Rhinolophus ferrumequinum: one gene and its partners. The protein of the gene in region 3 binds, or shares a complex with, the protein of the main gene of each other region. Links are inferred from orthologs where the notes say so. Each region holds a gene or a part of one and is shown on either strand. Other genes may lie near its edges. The genes, in order: POLR3E, POLR3G and POLR3C.

Region 1 (7,999 bases), on a different chromosome or scaffold from region 3:
ATTTGCTCCACCCAAAGAGGGACTAACAAGAAATGTTTGACATCCAGAAGAGTGAGGCCACGTCAGTTCCCTGGATGAGGGGGAAGGGTGATCCCAACTTGCCCTGAACCGCCAGCTGACTGCCCCTGCCAGGAGGCTTTGGGAGAAGTGTCTTCAAGAAGCTGAAGCGATACATTACCTCATGTGCCTGTGTGTCCACAATTAGAAGGTGAATTAGGGATGAATTCATAGAAACTAGGTAAGCTTTTTTTTTTTTTAAGAAGGCAATTATGAACAATAAACAATATTCTCCAGAAAAGGAAGAACGGTTATAGTTGCGGGTATAGTTAAGCTCAAGCTTAGTGAATAGCATTTGCTAATTATGGCTCAAATGAAATTACAGTATGACTGTTAGGGGTGTTGGAGTAAGGGGAGTGTTTGTGGTGGTGGAGGTGGCTAGAGTTAAATTCTTGTCCTCATTAGTAGGAAGTCAACAGAGAATGCCTAAAACTGATAGGGGAAAAAAGCAGGAATATAAGCATATTGTTTAGACCTATGGAGAGAAATATCATACCAGAAGAATCTGCCAGAAGTTGGAAGTGCTTGCCTGGGGCTAGAGGGGTAGGCATACTGCTAATTTTGATAATAAGCCTTGTAGGATGGATAGTGGACTCATGTACAACTTTGATAACGTTATCAAATTAAAGAACTTAAAATATTTACTAAGTTAAAAATACTAATTTCGCTAAATTAAAAATTCATTATAGTAATTAATATATTGAGCATCTACTGTTTGATTGAATCTGAGACACCCTTGATCTTAAGATGCACCATTATTTGATGAATTAATAAGAAAAACACTGAAAATAAACTATATGACATTGATCATAAGATGTAGGTCAATTTTCGACATATTAAAATGTGAAAACGTGTCTTAGAAACAATGATGTATGTCAGACATTGGGCTGGGTATATACAGTTATCTCTAACCCGGCGACAAACCTCAGTATTGTGACCATTTCACAGATGAAAAAAAGGAGGCTTAAAAGGGTCATATGGGGAAAGCATTTGCCAGGAATGTTTTGATTGATCAAGAAAGAAAGAGGTTCAAAGATCAGATGTCATCGTAGTCCCAACATAAACAGTGCCGACTGATGCTTGATTCCCATGACCTAGCAGCATCTTCCCAAGACACCAGAAGTATTTCCAAGGCTGAACTTCCCAGGAATTGATGGAAGGGTGCCACCAGTCATGGAACCTGCAGTTTGATCTGACTCAACACAGGAAATCTCATTCAGGTCTGTCAGATGGAGCTTTGAGTGGGCAAGGTGTAAGATGAACGCATGTCCCAGTTTACCAGGGAGTTCTGATTCATGCCCGTGAATTAAACATTTGTTTCAGAAAAAAAGTGCCATGGTCACCGTGGTAAGGGTATCAGTGCTCTGTTCACAACTAAAGGGACAAAGTTCCTTTGGGGGAGGCCTAGGTGGTCACGTCGATTTCTTGGTTGCAGGTAACAGAAATCAAAGCTGGTTAGCTTTAGCAAAGAAGCAATTTGGGGGGAAGGGAGTGGTCTACAGAATGGAAGGTAAAACTGAAAGAATCAGACCTCAGAAGCAGAGGTACCAGGGCAAGTGTGGAGGAGATCTAGGAAGCAGAAGGTGACAGATTAGAACAATCTAAAGGAAAAGAAAAGAATGTTTGGTTTAAGGTCACTGACAAATGACCCGTCAACTGGGTGGGTAGAGAACGCATTTCCCAGCACAAATCTCAATACTAGTGATTTCATAAGAAAAATGCTTAAGCATTTTTATTAGGAATGTTCATTTCTTTCCAGAAGAAGATTCATGTGGCAAGAAGGTTTGGTCTCAGACCAGGTTTGCAATGATTTTCCTTGGACAGGTGCAAGGGAGTGAAGTGTGGAGGGGGTTCAGACTGAGCCTCCTTGCCTTCGTCACTGACCACTGCTAAGGGCTTACGATACAGAGACAGACACAGACACCCTTCATCTGACAGCCCCTAGATTGGCAGAGGGGGACAAGTGGGCAGTGTTTGATCTGGGGTGCTAGCCTTTCTCCCCTCCACCTGCCCCATTAGTCAGGGACAGGGAAGTAAACGCACCAAGGGATAGTCCAGGGTTCAGCCCTTCCCTCCCTCCCCTTACCTAGAGCTCCTGGGACCCTGTGGGTCCAGGAGTTCTGATGCAACATTCCACTTCAATCCCACCTCTGATGGTCACCAGACAGCTGTGTGATGGGGCTGCCAGACTGCAAGAAACTCCCTTAAGTATCCCATTCAGCATGTACTGTAGGGACAGACCTGAATTGCTACAGAATGCTCTGGCAGAAATATCTCTAGCATCATTTGATTCCTTACCATGTGAGGGTGAGGTTTATTGGTTACAACTGACAGCTACCAGGTAGCACCAGCTTTAGCAGAAAAGGGCTTTATTACAACGATACAGGGTTGCCTCCGGGAACGTGAATCCCACTGGGTCCTGGGAAGGGTCCTGAGCTGGAAGCCAGAAAAGCAGGACTTCTCTATGACTCTGCTCTTTTCATTTCGTTGTTCTGTCTTTTCCCACGCACTGGTGTTTCTCTCCTCCGATCCACCTCACAGACTGGCCACCCCACGTACACCTTTCTCCCTAGTCCCACTCAGTCTCAGAGACTAACTCCAACTCTGAAAACAGTCAAATGAACAAATCAGGAACTCACCCTGTCCCAATTCAGATTCTCAAAAGAGAATCTGTGTGGTCCAACCTGAGTTGCCTGTTCCCATGGAACCCACTGACCGGGGTGTGGGGCAGGGATGCACGGCACAAAGGTGGGTGCCAGGGACCCACTCTCTGGGCTGATCAGGCAATTCCTAGAAAAGTGGCATTACGCAGAGACCCCTTATCCTGCACTATGGGAACTTTTCCGTTTGGAAAACCCAGCACACAACTCACAAATACAGTCCTTCCTGGCTCTACAGCCTCATGACTAAATCAGTGCTTCGATTGATCTCAGGGACGATCCCTCATTTAGCTTTAAACCCCCCACAATGCCCAGCCTGTATCCCCAATAAACGGCTACTTCTGTATTTTTAAAAAAATGCCTTTAAAAACAACAAACTCTCCTAGAGCAATGAAATCTTTGCATAGCAACACTTATGTTAAAAGTAAATGGAGAAATAAAACCAGGTTAAAGTAGACTTGAAGAGTAGAAATATGGAATGTTAAGTCGTGTGCACAAATGTTAACTTGTGTGCCAACTGGATATTAACCAGAAACTTGAATATAACAATATAAACAACTTAAAATGACCATATTCATAGTATGGAACAGATTAGATCTATATGTGCCATAATAGACCTAAAAAACATAATGTTGGAGTAAAACAAGTTGCAGAATGATACTGGTACACAGTAGTAATGTTTACATAAATGAAAAACATAATAGAAGACTGTACTATACATTGTTCATGGGTATATACACACACACAGACAGACACACACACACCCAAATATTTATATAGACATGGAAGTGTCAGAAGTGGATTGGAAGGATACACATCAAATTCATGACAATAGTTACAACAGGGCAGAATGTTTGGGAGGGGGCTTTATTTTTATTTCTAATGGTGTAATATAATTTTTAATGGATTTTTAAAAGGACAACATATTCATACCATTCCCTGCGTAATAAAAGTGTATACAAAGGGTAAGAATTGGAAGTGAAATACCATAATATTAAGAGGGTGGGAATATGGATGGTTATTTTTTCCTTTGTACTTTTTCTGTGTTTTTAAACACCTGTATACATCAACATGGATAGATGTTTCAAAAATACAGTTGGGTGAAAAAAATCCAGTGCATATCAATACCAATAGTATGATAATATTTATGTAAAAACCCATGTTCACTAAAAACAAAACATCTCTTTTCTACAGATACCTATATCTGTATGAATATATCCAAATAAATTCACAGCAAAAAATACAAAGGCTGTATACTAAGCTGATGACAATGGTTACATCTGCGGAGGTTACATCTTAGGATGGGGTCAGAGGTTTTAATATCTTGCAATAATTCACGTATTATTTGTGCCCAGCTCCCCTGGGGTAGCCTTCGAAGCCCCTGGTGCGGGTTACTGCCGGAACCCATCATTTCTCCCTGAGATTCCTAACCCGAGTCGCGTGGGTTAACCTAAACTCTCCTGGTTAAACGCCCGACTCAATACAAGCTCTTAAACTGCTTTGCACTTTAAAACCTATCAGGAACAAGTCTGGGCCTAAATAGCAGAGCAAATATTTTCTTTTAACTACATGTATTCTAAATACTTTCATCACGAGCAAAAAAAACCACATATTAAACTAGTAACGTGGCGTTACAATCGCTTGTAAAGATGTTAAATAGCTCTCTGGAAAAAGGAGGCATCACACAGGTAGCGTGGCCGAGCGGTCTAAGGCGCTGGATTAAGGCTCCAGTCTCTTCGGGGGCGTGGGTTCGAATCCCACCGCTGCCAGGATCACCCTTTTGCCCCTGGGGCCTTCATGCCACGTTCTTCTCCGCTCTGTTTTGCAGGTGCACCAGCGCCCCCTGCTGCCCGCGGAGCTAGCGGCCGGCGTGAATGGAGCGACGCAGGGGGCGGGCCCGCGCGGCGCCGGGGCGGGGCATTGTGGGTAAAAGGAAGCGTGCGGCCGGGCGTGCTCCTCCCACGTGTCCGCTGGAGTTTCTCCACTGGCAACATGGCCGCTGCCTGAGCAGAGAGCCCAGCCGCCGCCGCTTGTGCAGCCCGCGGGGACCTAGGCCGTTGCCGCCGCCCGCGCGTGGCCGCCGCGGAGAGGTGAGTTCGCGGTGGCAGCGCTCGCCGGGCCTGAGCCGGGCCACACGCGCGAGCTGGGCCGGGGCTGTGCTGCGGAGTAGGCCGGGAGGCCCGCGCTGTGCCCGGGGGCTGTGGCCACCCGCACTCGTGCGGGAGGGACAGGCAGCCGGCGCCGGGAGACCCAGGCCGGACGCGCACTCCGACGTCGGCCCGGTGTCCGGGAGGCCGCGGCCTCGGGCGGTGACTCAGGATCCAGCCGTCTTGCCCCGCTCGGCCCAGGCGGGCCTCCGGCGGGGACACCTGTCCTGAGGAGGCCCGTGTCCGGCCAGCGTGGCGGCCGGTGGTGGTGGCTGCGGGGGCGGGGCGTGAGGAAGGGGCCTGACCGCGCGTGGGGGAGGCGAAACCCACTGGACGGTGCGGGTCCGCGCTGCGGCCCGCCCCGCGTGGCCGGGGGCGGCCGATACCAGCCTGCGGGCGTCGCCGCTGATCCCCAGCGGCCCGGTCCGGGCGTTCCGCGTCCGCCGCCCTGGCCCCCGCTCGGCGTTCGTTCCTGACGGGTCCGCCGGGCCGGTGTCAGTGGTGTGAGCGGGTGGGTTAAACCAGTAAACACCGACGGGGCGGTTGGCTCGGGCGTCGTCGGGATGGGGCAGAAAGCGGAGGTCTGAGCAGTCGCTCCGGCTTCGTCACCTGTGAAACAGGCTCGGACTTTTCTCCCTCCCTGGACTGTGGTGAAGGCTGAGGACGGTGACACGGGGGGTGGGGGGGCCCCAGCCTGCAGCGTGCGGTGTGCGGTTGGGTCCCAGACCCTTTTACGTGGAAGGAAAACAGGTTGCCTGCTGGTCACAGGCCGCCCCAGGTCACATCGATTACGGTAGTTAACTCTCATCACCGGCCTCTGGGGGCCGGGACGTGTCACCATGTGGAGGATGAAAAGGGTGAAAGTCCGGGTGGGCCGCGGGCGGCGAGCGGCACGCGTGGGGCTTGAACCTGTGCCGCGCAGCTTGGGAGTCTGGGCTCTTACCCACCAGGCCAAGCTCGCTTCTGTGAGCCGGGGTGCAGCACAGCAGTTAGGAATGAGAAGAAGGATCTTGGCCATTAGCTCGACCCGGGGTTCTGTGCTGCTGCTGTCATTCATTCCCCCGTGTCGTGACCTTGGCAAGCTACTTACGCTCCCAGCCCCCGTGTCCTCTCTCCGTGATCGTGGCCAGTCTTGACTTAGGGGGCTCTGGAGGAGGTTCAGTGAGAACGTATGCCAAGTCCTCTCTAGACAAGGGTCCGACCGACCCTCCTTTAGGCTTAATTAGTTCTTCTCGTCCCCTAGGCCAACTCTGCCATGACACAGGTGGAATCGGGTGACGCAGAGGGGAGCTGCCTTGTCCAAGGGGCCTACAGCGAGTTAGAAGCCAGGCCTTGAGACTGTTCGTCCTGGGGCCCTGTCCCCTCAAGTCCTTTGTGTTTTGTCCTCGCAGACCTCTCCCTCCCTCACCAGCTTTTGGAGTTGCCGCTGCTCTCTGATTGGCCGACAGGTTAGACTCCTGGGTGCAGCACAGATGCCCCCCATTGTGGCCTTCAGGTACCTCTGCTCTGGACCCCTCTTAGCTCCATCTGGTGTCCATTTGTTGAGCAGCTCTCTGCGGAGGGAAGTATCTTGTGTCCAAGGCCACAGAGCCTCTGTCACCGAGTCCCCTTGTGGCCACAGGACACCCTGCGGAGGCCCAGGTGGTTGGGTCTGGCGGGGGTGCTTGGCTTGTGGCTGGGTGGCCAGTCCCTGGCTGTTCTCAAGGGTCCAGGAGGCCACCCCTCTCTGCTTGGGGCGGAGTTAGGCCCACTGGGTTGAGGCTTTGTGACTGCCTGCTTCCATCCATTCGTTTACTCGGTTGTTTGAACTTCACTGAGCACCCTTCATGCCAAGCCCTGTTCTAGGTGTTGGAATAACGGTGAATTTCAAGAGAGAGAATGACCCCCTGACAACTTGAAGTAAGTGTGACTCTCCCCACTTTCCGGTGGGAGCGTGGAGAGGCCCTCCTGCAGCTCACAGTCTAGTGCAGAAGACTGATACATATGCAAATAGACGCGGTAGCTCCAATGGTGAGAAGAACCATGAAGGGAACAGAGCAGGGAGATGTGGTAGTGACTGGGGCGGGGATTGGGGTGCAGATGCTTTAAGATGGGGTGGTCAGGAAACCTGTGTGTGGGTGGGGGTAGTGGTGACATCATGAAAAGGAGCCAGCCTGAAAAGACCCGGGGAGCAGAGGTGATGTGCAAAGGTCCTGAGGCAGGCTGGGCTTGCAGGCCCAGCAGGAGGCCCACCTGCCTAGGTGGGTGATGAGGGAGAGGCAGGGGCAAGATCCCCTAGGGCCTTGGGAGGGCATTTGGGTTTTAGTCTGTGTGACAGCCGACGGGTTTTGAGCAGGGAGACGATGTGATTTACCCTTTTATCAGGACAACTCTGACTGTTTCTGGAAGGACTGGAGGTAGGAAAGAGAGACCACAGGAAGACTTGCTAGAGCAGTACTTTCCAAATTGTGGGTGAAGATTTATTTCAAATTGTGGGATGAGAAATCAACTTAGGGGGACATTAACCAGCACTTTTCATTTTCATGAGCAAGGGTAGAAACCATCACTGTATCACTTAGAGCACTGTGTTTCCCCGAAAAGAAGACCTAATATAAGACCCGCTCTTATGTCTTACATTAATGTTTGCTGCAAAAGACGCATTAGAGCTGATTGTCCGGCTAGGTCTTGTTTTCGGGGAAACATGATATTAATTTCTGCTCCAAAAGACGCTTTAGGGCTTGTGTTTAGGGGACATCATCCTGAAAAATCATGCTAGGCCTTCTTTTCTGGGTAGATCTTATTTTTGGGGAAACATGGTAGGACAGTTACGGCTGTGAGCCCTTGTTGTAGGGACGTAATTGTACGTATGTTCTGGGCCGTTTCTGTGAGATGGTTTCTTACTGGGGCCTTACTTAGGCTGAAAACCTTGCGAGCCAGCGAGTGGGGGGTGTTGGGTAGGAGGGTGAAGGTTGGTGATAACGCCAGCACTGACCAGTCAGGGTCCTGTCCGGGGAGGAGCTCCGCCCCAAGGGGACTTCATCCTCCCTGACTCGGGACAGGTCACCGGAGCCCACCAATGGCCGGGAAAGCCTGTGATTGGGACCCTCCAGGCCCCCCCGTCAGTACACTGACTCTGATCCCTTCTCCCTGGAAGTC
Region 2 (7,713 bases), on a different chromosome or scaffold from region 3:
TCCTTTCCTAAAATGTGTATACATTTTTTTGGCACCTTCTGTATACTCTCAACTTATTCCTCCTTATTTCTCCTATTTTCCATTTTGAAAATACACATACACACGCTTATTCCTCCTATTTTCCATTCTGAAGACCTGAGCTCAACAGCACTTGGCATCTCTCAATCAAGAAACCTGTTTTACATTCTCCAGAGAACAAACTAACTGGATGGTCATAAACTTAGGAAGAAGGGTTCTAGAGTTTAAATAGTTTCTTAAATGCTTTCAACCCATACTACTTATTTTAGTAGTACTATTCCCTTTGCCCCCACTAAAGTACCTGCTACTGCTAATTCCTTTTAAGGCTCCTGCAGTGCAAACTGGATTGGCTCTTGATTTCCCATTGCTGGAATAGGATAAAACTGCTAACTCAGTTGTCACCTGCCCAGCATCCCAAAGAGTTCGTCAGTCAATGTGGATTTATACTTAAAATGAACAAACCACGGTCCCTTTACAGTAGTCTTAATGGGGTTTTGGAAGGGAGTCAAATTAGATATATTTGCTCATTTTGCTACCTTTCTGGAATCTATTTTTTTTTTTTTTTTAATGTCCCCAAATGATTCAAGTCCACCTGAAACAACTGCTTTATCCTATTGGTGACACTGGGCAAACTGTTTAAACATGCCTAATAGGAGCCAAAATGCCTGCACTTCATTCATATCACTTGAATATTGTGAAAATAGGCAAAATGTGTGCCCATTCAAGAAGAATGTGCTCTATCAATCTAAGGTTTATCACAATCTTCTTAGAGGAAGATACTATTTCACAGGTAGTAGGACAAGTTGTTTTCCATCAAAGATGATGCATTGGGTGATGATTTCTCCTTGTCCTCTTTGTCCCTCATTTACAAGTCATCTTTTGGGTTACAGTGCATATATTTATGCTTCTCTAACACAGGTAATCATCAATTCACCTAAATGAAATTTAATGACTTCAACCTCCATGTTCTAACCAAAGCAATGAAGCTTCTACGCTGTTCGGTATGTGCTGCTGATGTGTGTGTGTGTGACTGTGTATGAATTTTAATATAAATATCTTATATCTCCTTCCAGGCATCAGGATTATGATGATAGCAAGTTAGTAGACCACACCATTCAGAAGAGATGATAAGAAAATTAATATTCTCGAGAAAAGTGGAAATTAGATACTCCTTGACAGAGTGAGGCATCCAGTTCCCAGTGAAAAACAACTTTTGATTTAACACAGTATTATCACCTTCAAAGTGTCTGGTAAATATTAAGCTTTCTTTTCATACCTTCAAAGGCTTAAAGCACCAAACAGGTAGCTTGCAGGCCCCTTGCAGCTCCAAAATGCTTTAATTATAATTATAAGGCTATAATTCTAGCAGCAACTTGGATTTTGGAAACCTGGATTCTATTCCCAGCTCTTTCCCAAAGTGGCAGTGTAATCTCAGGTATGATATTGAGGCCTGCTTAGACTGTTCATCTAGGAAACATCAATTCCTATCACTGTTTCACCATTGATTTCCTATTGCTGGCAGAGAGAAAAAGTAAATAAACCAAAAAGTAATTTATTCGTGTAGACAATTTAAATATATTTTAAATAATAATGTAAACATTTCTTGTGGAATGACAGAAAATATTTATTCTGAATACCCGTCAACTACATGGAAATCTTACCTCTAAAAGTATCAGTTCTATCAAGATATACAGTAATTAAAAGTATATTTAATGTAAATGTACTTTTTTCCTCTCAAATTGTTAGGTAATATAAGATTCCCCTCTCAACCAGTTTTTTTTTAACCCTTAGATTTAAATTTTAAATGGAAAGACTTTGGATAGGGTGTGAGATATAGAATCTTGCTTTATATTTTTTATATCTCAAGTGATCAGAATCTCACCTGTAAGATAAACTGATTTTCGTAAAATATTTCATTATTTGTCATATTGGTTGGTCATAAAGTGAGAGTATTACATAGCAGTAGCTGGATTTTGCTACCTCTTCGAAGAATATTTTAATAAATTAAATTGGCAATTAAAATGGTTTCAAGATAGAGTGGGAAAAGGGGGTTTCACATCCTACTTGGAATTACCATAATATAGTTATGCAGTAGGATTTTTGTATGATCTGCATGCTTTGACATATTGTGCCTTGGTTCAAATCTTAGCTTTTGTCATTATTAACCACCTCACTTCAAATATTGAGAGAATAAAATGAAATCAACGAAAGTATTCTAAAAAGAAAAAAGGAAATTAATATACAAATATTGCTTCTCTGTCCAATTAGCTGAATTATTTAAGTGCCTGCATAGTGTTCGGAGGACAGGGGCCCTACTCGTATTTTGTTCCATTAGTTTCTCTCTGAACCCTATTCTATGTTACATGGGGTCTAAGAAGCCCAGGGCTACCGATGCATTAGTCCACATACTTAACCATCACCTGCAATAATCTCCGTGTTAATCTTTCCCAGGCCTTGCTTTCAACCAGACCAGATATCTATCAAAATGTAAGACTCAGACATATTCTACTTTTTATGTACCCTACCTGGCTCTTTCTCTGGTGAGGCAACATCAAGAACAGAAATCTATCTGGAAGATAAAGATGCAAGAGCAGATGGCAACCACTGTTCTCTAATGGCTTTCTAAACCTACAGGTGGGAATTGCTCATAGCCGGCGGTCACTGAGCAGATGAAGTCAGCAATTCGCAAAAGCAGAGAGCATGACATGCACTCTCCTTGAGGCGTCATTCCTTAAAAGTCTTCTCTCTAGAAAAGCGCCTGGAAATGTCTGACAGGTGTACGGGAAAAGAACGGGAAATTCCTAGTCACGAGTCTCTGCGGCGTTACTACTACACCTCGCAGAGGAAACGGACAAGGGGGTGGGGCCGGCTTTCATTCGAGTACTCAGCTTTGCTACACCGTGCCAGAGCTAGTCTCAGGTAGGGAAGGCTGCGATGGCCTTGGCTCTGGTCGAGTGTCAGTGCAGGTAGAAACAAAAGTGGTGTTTCTGAAATGTAGCAAAACAAGCCCCCTCACAGCCACGCACATCTGCAACATGCATCCCTCGGACAGTTTCTTCCCAACCCCCTCCCGTAATGAGAGAGCGCGCGCCCGTGAGGGCCCATTACCATCCTGCAGGATGAGGGTGGGCTGTACCGCCTGCACTCGGAATTGCCTGGCCCTCCAGCCGGGGCTGGGCGCCCGTACCACCTCACTATCGGACAACCAGGTCACGGTCTCAAAGTTGTCCCCGCGAGCCAGTGCCTCGGCCTCGGCGTGGTGCACGGCCACCCGGTCGAACTGGTAGAGACCACCGGAGTGGTCGAAGTGCACGTGGGTGGCCACCGCCAGCAGCGGCCGGCACGCCGCGTCCTCCTTGGCCCCGCCGTCCTGCAAGAGGCCGGAGGAGTACAGGTATTCCGGAAGGCTGCGCAGCCCCAGGCCCGTGTCGATCACCACGTCCTGCTCGGAGCCGCGCACCAGCCAGATGTTGGCACGGTTGCCAGACTCATAGAAGCGTTCCTGAATCCAGAAGATGCCGTCGCCCAGGGACTTGTGGGCGTACCACTCGAGCGCCGACATGCTGGGAAGAGGTGCAGGAGGGGTGAGTGTGGGCGTGTGTGCCTCCCGCAGGCTGTCCAGACTCCGGGCGCTGCGGCGGCGTGGAGCGGTCTGCCGGCAGCCAGGGAGGTGGCGCAGAGCAAGGAGGGGGAGGGGGATGCGGGTGGTGCAGGGGGTGCGGGGGATGCGGGGTGTAGAATTAGGAGGAAGGAGGCACCTAGACACTGCCTGTCGTGGTCGCTTTACTCCCACGACAGGTCCGCAGAAAGCAGAGGTTGTTCTGCCCGCCCCCGGGCGCTGGAGGAATCGCAGCCTCTGTAGCCGCAGCACAGGAAGGCGTTAACGCTTGGACCACTGGAGACCTACAAGGCGACCCTTCCCCAACCTGGGGGCGTCTAACTGCAGAGGCCGGGAGCTAGTCGTAGAAGGCACCAGATCCGCCCACCCACCGTGCGCCGCTATGCGCACTTCCAGCCCGCGCAGAGTCAGACCTTGCGGGTTGGACAGCTACGGCGCCTGCCAAGGGATAAAAAGCTCTTCGCCCAGCGGGCGGGGCCTAGCTAGGAAGTGGGCGGGGCTAACTGGTTGGGTTCCGAATTGGGCTCCGAGGCCTCGGGGAGGGCGGAGCGCGCTTCTCCAGAGGTGGAAACTGCGCCGGGCGCCGGCGCGTTCTGTCCGCACCCCTTCCTTGCCGGCCGGCGCTTCGGCTGCACAGTTTTGCCCAAGCCTCCGAGACTTAGTGAGCAGGTAACAGAGGAAGCAATTGAGGGCTGGGAAGGAGATGGAGAGGGTAGAGGGGAATTAAAGGGGCACATGGAAAGGTGGGGGAAGTCGGGTGGAAATTCATTGACGCGCTTCTCGGTTGAGGTGCGTTGAGAGATAGCTTTACCTCCCCTTCCAATCCCTTCAAAATCTTTTAAAATCATCGTTTCCATATCTTACCTAGTCGCCACTTCCTGGGACTGTTTGCAGTGAGTTAGAAAGGAATTAGTGCTCTTACTGATTGATGGTAGATTTTCAAATCCGGTGACTATACGATTGGTTCAGGCATGAATCATTGCCGCAGGCTTGCAGCTAAGGACAGACTATTCTGTATGTTTTCGTAATTGTTGGCACTTTATCCTGTATCATGGAGAGTGGGGTTGTCAATGAAGTTTTTTTCCTCTTCTGAAAAATTAAATTCTATATTCTTTCTCCACCCTCCTTTTTTAAGTTTATCCGCTCTTGGAAGAGAGCAAAGAGAGTTGATAGGCTCAACTAAGAAAAGTGGAGGCAGCCACACCTTGTGAAAATAAAAAAAAAGTGAATAATAACTGGGTGTGGCCCGCCAGCCACATAAATCACCCTCAGTATTAAAGCCAGGCCCCTTTCTCCACTCCGCACCTCTCAACTATTGAAATACCATTTAGGCTGCAGAAATCCCCTTGAGAACTTGACTAACCTCCCTACTCAGCCAGGAAAAATTTTATAGACTCATGAGACAGCATTATAAAAGAATTATGAAAAACCCTTATTGTGGCAGCTTACTAGTAAGCCTTCATACAAGGAGATGTGTACTCTCCTCCCCTAAGCTCCTAAAGTTTTTGGTGGGGACGCAGCCTTTCTGAATATATTCCTAACTTAGACTTTTTCCAGTCACTCTGTTCAGGGCTACCCTTAGTGCAAGTCCTAGAGCTAGATGTGTAAAGAACAGAATTGTGTAAAAAGATCATAATCTGGGTTCTCAAGAATTTGAGGGAAGACAGTGGGGGATATAAAATTTCTATTAATACAGTCGAAGAAAGAGACAAACGAGTGAAACTTCTTCCTTTTGGAAAAGGCCTATTTCCCAAAAGGGGAATACCTGTGTTCCAGAATTGATGAGTGTAGTAATACATATCACCTGGAGTTTTAAGAATCCATTTATTTTAACAGGAGGATCTTACCAAGAGCAAGGAGGGATGAAATGACTCTTGCTGATGTTGAGCAACTTAAACTGCATCTATAAGGTTAAAAAAGGGGCGCAGCCAGGCAGGGCAGAAGGGGAGTAGGTGCAGTGGAGAGAATCATGGTCAGGACATGATTACAGAAGAATGAGTCAGGAGGATAGGTGCAGCCATCTTAAAAGGGCTCTGAATATTTGGATAGGGAGTTTGGATTTAATTCTCTAGCCTAGAGGCAAAATAGGGAGAATAATATATAATCAGAATTATGCTTTAGGATGAATATTTTGGAAGAATAAATTAAAACAAACAGGAAGAACAAGGGATATTACAAAATTTGCAGTTAATCAAAGTGAGGTGGGAAAGAGCTAAGCTGGATTATGGTAGAAGAAATAGAAAGGAAGGGACATTTTGAAGGAAGAATTAGATGATGGATTTGATAGTAGGGGTGGAACAGAATGAGAAATCGGTACTGAGTCACTCCAAATGTTCACATGTTGGTGTCTGGGAAAATAACATACCATGGGTAGAAATAGGGACCTTATATATGAAAGGTAAGCTAGTTAGTGTAGGGGGAAGATGAACTCAATATTTTAAGTTTAAGGTACTGTCCAAATATTTTTCTGATAGTAAGAGCATGTGCTGAAACTCTGGATAAAGGTCATTGCTGGAGGTAATGGAGAGGGAGAGGTCATCAAACCCCAAGAGTGGGTGCATTTCTGAAGAGCAGGAGACCAAAGATCGGACTTTAAGGATATCCATACTTAGGGGGTTTAAGAAGAGAAGTAGACCAAAAAAAGTGTTCATTGGGGTAGGAGAACTGGAGTTTTATTAAAGCCTAGGAAAGAGAGTTTCAAAAGAGAGAAGGCAGTAATCAGATGTGCAGTTCAGAAGTCCAAGAACATGAATGAGGACAAAAGGCCAGTGGATTTTGCCATGAGGACCATTGTGACCTTTGCATTTCTGAATCTCCGTGAGTGCAGTTCCCATCATAAGTAAGATAAAAGCCAAACCCTTTACCACAGCTCCCACAGGGCTCCACAAGCTCTGACCTTGACCAGCCTCTCCCCACTCCTCACCAGCTACATGGGCTTCTTGTTCTTCAGACACTCCCAGAGCTGTGGCTTCCTCCTCTGCACTTGCTGTTGCTTCTCTCTGTAATCATCTCCACCCCATCCATCCATCTTACGGCTCCCAGGCTTACTCCAGCACAGTGCTCAGATTTATCCTCCACAAAAAGACCTTTCTTTTATGCAAAAGCCACTACCATACTCCTTTGTTATCCCTTTACCATGATTTGTTTTCTTTCCATAGCTGTATTGATTTCCTAGAGCTGCCCTAACATGTTACCACAAATCGGATGGCTTAAAACAACAGAAATTAATTCTTACGCTTCTAGAAGCCAGAAGTCTGAAATCAAGATGTCAGCAGGTGTGTTCCTTTTGGAGGCTCTGTGGGAGATGCTGTTCTATACTTCTCTCCTAGCTTTTGGTGGTTCCTGGCACTCTTTGGTGTTCCAGGCTTGCAGCTGCAGCACTCTAATCTCTGCCTCCATCTTCACATGGTGTTTTCACTGTGTGTTTCTCTCTTTCTATTCAGATTTCCCTTTTATAAGGATACCAGTGATTGGAAGAGGGCTCATCTTAATCCACTATGACTCCATCTTAATTCGATTACTTATGCAAAGACTTTTTCCAAATAAGGAAGGTCACATACAGCTATTGGCAGTTAGGACTTTGACATATTTTTGAAGGGGCACAATGCAACTCACAACAAGAGCACATAATATTATGTTACAGACTTATTGGTTTATTTGTGTGTGTTCTTTCATCCACTGGAATGTAAGATCTGAGGGCAGTGACCTGGTTTTGTTCAATGCTGTCTGGGTGCTAACCACAGTGCCTGGAATGCTCAATATTGGTTGAATGGATAAGTGACTCAATGAAATTGGCCCATATGAAGTGTAGGAAGATTTGGTCAATGAGAAAAGGGGAAAGCTGGTTTTAAAAACACTTCATTCAAGACGTTTGGCAGGATGAAAAAGAAACAAGGAAGTTGTTGAATCAACAAAGGATTTCGAAGACTGATACTTAGGCCTCACTTGTGAGCCTTTCTTTCCATGATACAGTTACCAGAGTCAAAGGACTGCTTCTCCGCTTTACAAGAGAATAAAATGAATTTAGCAGCTTCTCCAGGTATAGGAGAACTGACTCGTGATAAGCGAAGTAAAAA
Region 3 (7,495 bases):
CACGAAGCTAAAATGGATAGATTAGGATCAGCAGTAAGGAGTTACTTCACCAAATTCATTCAACCGAATGTGGCTTAACCTGTATAGCTTTAGGCATATTCCAATTTCTCCCTGAAGTTATAGCCAAAACTATTTCTTCTAACATAGACACTAATATAGAGTAGAACTGACAAGAAAAATGATAAAAACCTAAGGTAGTTTCAGGGCAAACGTTAGGTAAGCTATTGCTATTGCCTACACACACTTCCAAATGTATCAAGAAGAGCTGTATCCTAGAGACTGCAGAAGGGAAAAGTAAAAGTTGTCAAAACCTCGCAGCCTAGTCCCACTAACACAATTATGACTCTGCTATGCAGTGAATAAACGGGCAAGACGTGAGATGGCTGTGACGCAGTCTTTCCCACTGATTGGGAGAAGAAACTTACCTACGAAGCTACAGCTCATTAAAAGCTGATGTAAAACTCAGTACTCAGCCTCAGGTGTTCAGAGGACAGCACTCATGGGTGATGGTTCCCGTGATCCAACTTGCACAAAAGTACCCCCTTGAAATGCAAAATAAGTCAAGACAAAGAAAAACTTTATTCGTGTTAAGTTGGGTCTAGCTCTCTTCAAAAAGACATGCAGATTTCCCGAAACTTTCATCCAACTGAAGAAACAATGCATGCCTAATATATGCTGAGTCCTTACAGCGAGGGAATCTCAAGTTTATACAAAAAATTATTTTAAAAATCTTTTCAGCGTGTCCTATACATATGAACAGTCATACTACTGACTTAACAGTGTTTGAGTTAGCGTTTAGCTAGCAACAGAGACAGATTCGTACTGAATCAGCCACTTACTGACCTGTCATTCTTCCAACCAACATTTTCCAGATGACAGTCTGGGTTCAGGAGATAGAAACGGTCATGAAACAAGATGAAGCTCACTGGCTGATCTGCGCATCAAAACTCTACCTCTGACATCACTGCACCTTTTCTTAAAAATGTGTAACAGTGACTTCCTAAATGTTTCTCTCTTCTCCCTCAACTCACTCTTCCTTTCCTCCCTTAGTCTATGCTATTCTCCGCAATCGGAATTCTACCTAGCCTGCAGAACTCAATTTAAAACCCATCTCTCACTCTTTCTTTGGCCTCGCCAATGCTATCATCCGGGATCTCCCTCCCTCTGAATTCTAAAGCACTTCTTACCTATCCCCATTCACCTTATATTGTTAACTATTCCAGTTTGTCTAGTCTTTCTGAGGTCCCTAAGGGCAGGAATGAATTCTAAAGCACTTCTTATCTATCCCCATTCACCTACTATTGTTAACTATTCCAGTTAGTCTTGTCTTTTTGAGGTCCCTAAGGGCAGGAACCACACATAGTCCTAGGTACTGCCTTGAGGACATCTAGCAGAGAACCTAGAACCTTGTGGTATGCAGAAGTAGTCCTGTTAAATTCAATTGTGTTAGGCCTCAATTTACAAACCTGGCATCAGAGATAATAAATCAGACTAAAAAGATCAATAACTTCACCTCTGGGCATCAAACTAAGATTTAGAAAAACACCTGCCGTCTTTCAAATTATCACTTTTCAAGAGCACTTTACAGTGAGGCCTTCAGGTGATTTTAAAAAATAAAAAAAGTTGCGGAAAATTAGACTGTTTTCTAGCTCTTAAAGGCAAATAAGTAAACAACGATTAAAAAGACCAGAAGAAAGAACTAAGGTCACGATGTTCAACAAAGCATCACATTCAACATGTCACTGGTCACACACATACTGGACAAATCCCAGGCTCCATCTTTGTTGACAGCGAGATTTCTGGGGGCTCTGATGTCCCCTGGGAAAAAAACAAGGCACCTGCTCTTCCCCGCACTGAAACATGGCACAAAGCACAGGTGCATGCACACACAAATCCGCAAGCAAACTAAGTAACAAGTACACTGACAAGAAGAAAATTCTGCGATGTTTTAAATTAAAATTACAGAGGCCAGAGTGACAGACAGAACAGTTAGCCTGTTAATAGCTGTGGACCAGCTCTGACAAAAGATTGCTCACATTCCTTCCATTGCCTGAAGGAATTTCGGATTAATTTCCAGGTGGCTATTTCCGCAGATTATTCCAGCCAAGCACCACTGACCTCCAGGAGCCTCCGCTTCTTGTTTACACGTGGGCTTTCCGGACTGCTGCCCACAGCCAATCCACAGGAGGGGACATTTCTTCTTGTGGACTCTGAGCCTATCCCAGAGCTGGCCCCACTTCCCACCCCTTGCCTATAGCTAATGGAATGTAAATTCTCTCAGACAGTTTACACCTTTCTTCCCCCTTCCTGCTACCTGATGTACAAAAACAAAACAAAAAACACTTGCAAACTCCGCAGGTGATGGACATGTCTTCTTTCCTACCAAGCTGGTGGTTTAGACTCGATGCCCCAAGACAGTCTTTTCTTTTGCCTGGCAATAGCCTAATAAACCCTTTCCATTACAAAGACTTGAGACCTAGGCCAATGAAGTTCAAATTTTGTGTTTCACAAGATGAATCTATGAAGTTGGGGCAAACAGAAAGGAAAGAAAATGCCATAAAAGCCTTTAAAAAAAAAAAAGTACAACTTTTAGGTGAAAAGGTTAAAATCCCTTTAGGAGCTTATTCACAGGACTCCATTCGTGTGTCCAAGAAATAAGACACAGACATACTTTAATTCAGTAGGCTTTCTCATAGGTTGTATCAGAGACACTATAGAATTAAGTTGTTAGGGAGACACCCTGGCTTAAGACTGAACCTGGATACTTCCAAGGAAAAGAACCCTAACTAATTCCAAAGATGGGTGGCCAAGAGATTACTATTCACCCAGGTGTGTCTCCCTGAAGAAACTAGGACCCAACCCAAACAGCTTCTGGGGTTGGCCAGCACGCTGCAGAAGCGCTGTCTTCACTACCGCTCTAGGGACGCACTGACCGTCTGGCAGAAACGGGTGAAAACCAATTTATGTCAGAGGACGCGGTCCCCAGCATTCTGTCCTGGATCTTTTCACGAAGAGACAGAATGGGACAGGGGCGGGGCAGGTGGGTGGTGCTCAAGACCCTGGCAGGCCAACAACGACAATACCCAAGTTGAAACAACATGTCCTGCCTTCTTCCTAAAGCCATTTCCTTCAATAGTGAGAGGGAGGACAGTCTGCGAGTCGTTAGTACACTGCTGTTTTCACTTTCACAACAACGCTGGAAACCACTGAAGAGCGAAATCCCCCTCCGCCCCAGTTACCTTCCAACCCTCTTCTTCCCGTGCTTCATTCCCTAGAGACAACCGAATAGAGGCCATCCTCATCGATCCGCTATTTGGCTTCATTAAGGGTAGGGTGTGGGGGGAGGCAAAGGGGAAAAGGAAACAGAGGAAGGCGAGAAGCTGCAGCAGCAGAAAGAGTCTCGACAGGGGCGAGGTCACTGTGGGAAGGACACAAGGTGAGGAAGAGTGCAAGGAAAGTAAGGCGAGTTGTCAGGGGAGAGGACTTGCTAAGGAAGAAAAAAGGTGGAGGGGGGCAGGTCAAGAAAGGAGAGGGCGTGAGGGGCAGGTGGAGCGTCCGAGGGGGGATAAAAGGCGGGGCGGGAGTTCAGGAGCAGCCAGGATCGGGACGCCCGGGGTCTGGGGTCAGCGACCAGAGACAGTGGGCAGCAGCATCTGGGAGACCGATTTCAAGGGTGTAGAGGGGAGCTGAAGACCCATTCCGGGACTCCGGGGCGAGGAATCCACGCCAACGCCAAACGCAGGGGACACTGGGCTCTTACCGGTAGTTTGGGGCTGACCTCGCCCTTGCAGAAGTGGCAGAAAAACCGATGCGCGGCGACGGTGGCGCCTGAGCCCGCCCCGGCCGCCGAGGCCTCCGCCATTTTTCTCTTCCGCCGCGGCGGTCCGAGAGGGCAGCCGGCCCGTCCCTCGCCAGGCCGCTACCTCCCGGGTGCAGTCGATTCCGCTGCCGCCTCGGTCGCCGCTTCCTCACTCTGGCCGGCAGCTCCAGCGCCCAGGTCAGTCACGTGAGGCGGCGGGGCGTCGGCGCGGACTGCGACCCCAAGGCCCGCCTCCAGCACTAAAGAGGCACAGGAAGGAGAGTCCGCCCGCCGGCTCCTCCGACAGCCTTTCGCCTGTCCTCCAACCTACCAGCGAGAAGAGAGAAAGAGCGTCTCCAGAAACCACTGAGACTCTGGGGTAGAGCGGCCCAGGTTTTACCCCTTTCCGGGTCCTCCGCGGTGCCGGTCCTCCTGCGAGAAAGGGCCGAGGGCTCCCCCTGCCATAGCGGTAGCGGGAGCCGCGCGAAGTCGCCGCAGGGAACTCGGCGGCGTTAGATTGCCTTGACCCAGAGGTTAGTGGAAAATGCTGCCTGAACGAGGCGGCCGGCTCTCTGGACCGAGGCACCAAGCCCCGAACGGGAACCTGCGTGAAGGGAGTAAAGAGCCAGGAGCCAAGATCCTTGCAAATCCTTTGCGAGGATGGCAAAGGGTGTGGGGATGCTTCCGCAGAGACGTGTGGACGGGGATACTGAGGCCGAGAGGCAAAGACTTGCTTCTGAGGAATTGGGAGAAATAAATGAACGCACTAATGTTTGGTAGCACTTGGGATAATAAGAAAGTAATTATATAGTCAACTACGTCTATTTCTGTATCTACTTTGTCAAGAAGTAGAAATTTCAGACTATGGCCCTGAAGACAACATACCCCATTTCCTATTTGAAACACCGTGTTGCGAAGCTCTCCTTTACCTCTTAATCTCTTCTAAGTTGTCATTTCCTTTATAGACTGGGAATGACACTGCCTGTTCACTCCCAATGGGCTGTGGTCTTAATTCTTCCAAACAACGAAGTATAGAATCTAAATAAAGTCTGTGACATTGCAAAACCATCTAATCCTATCTTTAAAGAAAATTAGAATTACACACAATCCCATAAAGATCAATGTGATGTATAGTCTTCCAGTCTTGATATGCATACATGACTTTTTATTATTGAATATTTCTCTATATTTTGGGTTGTAGTCTGCTTCTTTCACTTAATGAACAATTTTCGACGCTAGTATATATTATACATCATTTTAAATGTTGAAGTAGTATTCCATTGTGTGGGTATACCATAATTTATTGAATTGATTTCTTATTGTTAATCATTAGGTTGTTTCCAGTATAGCAGTATTCTAAAGAGAACTACAGTGATATCCTTTTATGATTTCCTTAGAGCAGAGTATCCAAAACAAAGTTATTAGGTCAAAGGCTTTTGATATGTAATGTCAGATTGCCCTCCAGAAAGTCCATGAATTTATACTCAGCAGCTCTACTCCCAACATAAAAACTTCCCATCATATAGTCTTTTTTATTTCTTCCTAGCTCCGAGTCCCCTCAGTACAATGACTCAAGCAGAAATTAAACTGTGCTCTTTGTTGTTGCAAGAGCATTTTGGAGAGATTGTGGAAAAAATTGGAGTCCACCTCATCAGAACTGGCAGCCAGCCACTAAGAGTAATTGCCCATGACACAGGAACATCCCTGGATCAGGTATGTTTGGATGATATTAATTTGCTTTCATTTCATTAATTTCTGTTACCTACCTTTGAATATTGTTACTCCCTACCTCACGAAATGGAAAGGGGGAAATCCTGCTCTCGGATCAGACCAGTGTTATTTGGGGGCAAAGGATCCTGGCTCCTCGTGGCTCTTAGGCAAATCTTTGCTCTTCCTTTGCCATATCTCATTTACTGACGTTGAGCCTATTAATCTCAGTAATGCTTTTAAGGAATGAGAATAATAGAGGAGAAATTAATTGTCCTTTGAACGATACAGATCAAAGTATGAGCATCACAACAAGGAATCTTCCTGGTTTCTTCCATTGACATGTGATTTTTATTAGCTATTCCAACGGAGGGAAGAAAGCGCAGAAATTATCTGGTCCTCTCCTGATGCTTAGTACACTGTTGAACAAAAATTGCCAACAATAACGAGCTGTCTCCAGATCTTTTCCCTCTTTCTTTTGGGTCTTATCTAGGTAAAAAAAGCCCTTTGTGTCCTCATCCAACATAACCTGGTGATATATCAAGTACATAAACGCGGTGTAGTGGAGTATGAAGCCCAGTGCAGCCGGGTGTTGAGAATCCTCAGGTACCCCCGCTATATCTATACTGCCAAAACACTGTATAATGACACTGGAGAGCTGATTGTTGAGGAGCTGCTGCTGAATGGCAAAATGACAATGTCAGCTGTCGTGAAGAAAGTGGCAGACCGGCTCACAGAGACTATGGAGGGTTAGTACTGTATCCATAGCTGTTAGCAAAAGCATACATTAGCTGGCTGCAGGAGCGGACCCTCAGCTATCTTCAGCCCTCTCACCTGCTTCTTCCTCCTGTTGTACAGACGGCAAGACCATGGACTACGCTGAGGTAGCAAACACATTTGTGCGACTAGCAGACACACATTTTGTACAGCGTTGCCCTTTGGTGCCTGCCGCTGAGAATTCAGACGCTGGGCCACCACCACCTGCCCCCACTCTTGTCATCAATGAAAAGGACATGTACCTGGTTCCTAAACTGAGCTTGATAGGTAAGGAATTTGAACCCCTGGACTTGTGACTTGCCTTAATTGTAGATTCTTTCTCAATGATTGTTAAATGAATGAATGAAGGAATCGAGCAAATACTTTCTTAGTGATTGTTGAATGAGTGAGTGACTAAATGAATCGAGCAATTACTCTGTGCCAGATACTTTGGTCTAAAATGATGAAAAACCATCAGGGTCCCTACCCTTTCAGGGCGTAAGTCTACTGTATGCAACTTACATTAATCAAATAACCATATAGATGCATAACTAACAAACTGTGATAAATACTGTGAAGGAAAAGCATGAAGTGTTATGCAAATATATAACAGGGGACTGGACTTACTTCGGGACTTGGGGCACATGCTCCTTTGAAAAAGTGGCATTTAAGCTCAGATTTGAAGCAGGAAGTAGAAGCCAACCAGTGAGGTAAGGTATGAAGGGGTACAGAAGATAAACATTTTTGGCAAAAGGAACAGTATACTGAGAAAAGAATAGGGTATTTGAGGAAGCAAAAGCAGGTAAGTTAATTAACGCATGGTGAACAAAGGAAAGCGAACCGTGAGATAAGGTTAGAGATATAGGCAGGGGTTAGACATGCAAGACCTCATAGACTATCTGTTCTTTATCCTAAGAGCAGAGGAAAACCATGAAAGGATTTTAAGTGGGGAAGTGACATAATCTAATTTGCATTCTGTATGCAGAAAGGATAGGGCAAAGGTAAATCTAGACAAACCAGTGAAAAATTAGATCTAGAAGGGGTGAGGGAGACAGAGGTATCAAGAACGACGTCAGTGTGTCTGACTTGGACACGTGGCAGGATGATGGTACCACTCACTGTGAAAGGAAACACTGGAGCAGGAACAGTTTGAGGGAAAAAGAGTATGAATTTCTTTTAGAGCATGTAGCGTTTCAGATGACTTCATCCTTTACTTGACTCTCTTTTAGCTAC

The links.
Region 1: POLR3C (region 3) and POLR3E share a complex: the UniProt entries of both Homo sapiens proteins name them as parts of the RNA polymerase III complex. The link is inferred for Rhinolophus ferrumequinum from reciprocal best matches to the Homo sapiens genes POLR3C and POLR3E.
Region 2: POLR3C (region 3) and POLR3G share a complex: the UniProt entries of both Homo sapiens proteins name them as parts of the RNA polymerase III complex. The link is inferred for Rhinolophus ferrumequinum from reciprocal best matches to the Homo sapiens genes POLR3C and POLR3G.

Annotation. Positions count from the first base shown.
Region 1 is NW_022680357.1:16,769,869-16,777,867, forward strand, and holds the start of POLR3E (DNA-directed RNA polymerase III subunit RPC5), read left to right. Parts: upstream 1-4,673; 5' UTR 4,674-4,807; intron 4,808-6,107; 5' UTR 6,108-6,312; intron 6,313-7,999. UniProt on the Homo sapiens protein: DNA-dependent RNA polymerase catalyzes the transcription of DNA into RNA using the four ribonucleoside triphosphates as substrates.
Region 2 is NC_046290.1:59,272,291-59,280,003, forward strand, and holds the start of POLR3G (DNA-directed RNA polymerase III subunit RPC7), read left to right. Parts: upstream 1-4,185; 5' UTR 4,186-4,306; intron 4,307-7,713. Other genes in the region: acyl-coenzyme A thioesterase MBLAC2, read right to left, coding at 3,127-3,580. UniProt on the Homo sapiens protein: DNA-dependent RNA polymerase catalyzes the transcription of DNA into RNA using the four ribonucleoside triphosphates as substrates.
Region 3 is NC_046305.1:50,081,007-50,088,501, forward strand, and holds the start of POLR3C (DNA-directed RNA polymerase III subunit RPC3), read left to right. Parts: upstream 1-4,180; 5' UTR 4,181-4,332; intron 4,333-4,422; exon of another isoform or gene 4,423-4,598; intron 4,599-5,345; 5' UTR 5,346-5,365; coding exon 5,366-5,512; intron 5,513-5,999; coding exon 6,000-6,255; intron 6,256-6,364; coding exon 6,365-6,550; intron 6,551-7,495. Other genes in the region: E3 ubiquitin-protein ligase RNF115, read right to left, coding at 3,761-3,862. UniProt on the Homo sapiens protein: DNA-dependent RNA polymerase catalyzes the transcription of DNA into RNA using the four ribonucleoside triphosphates as substrates.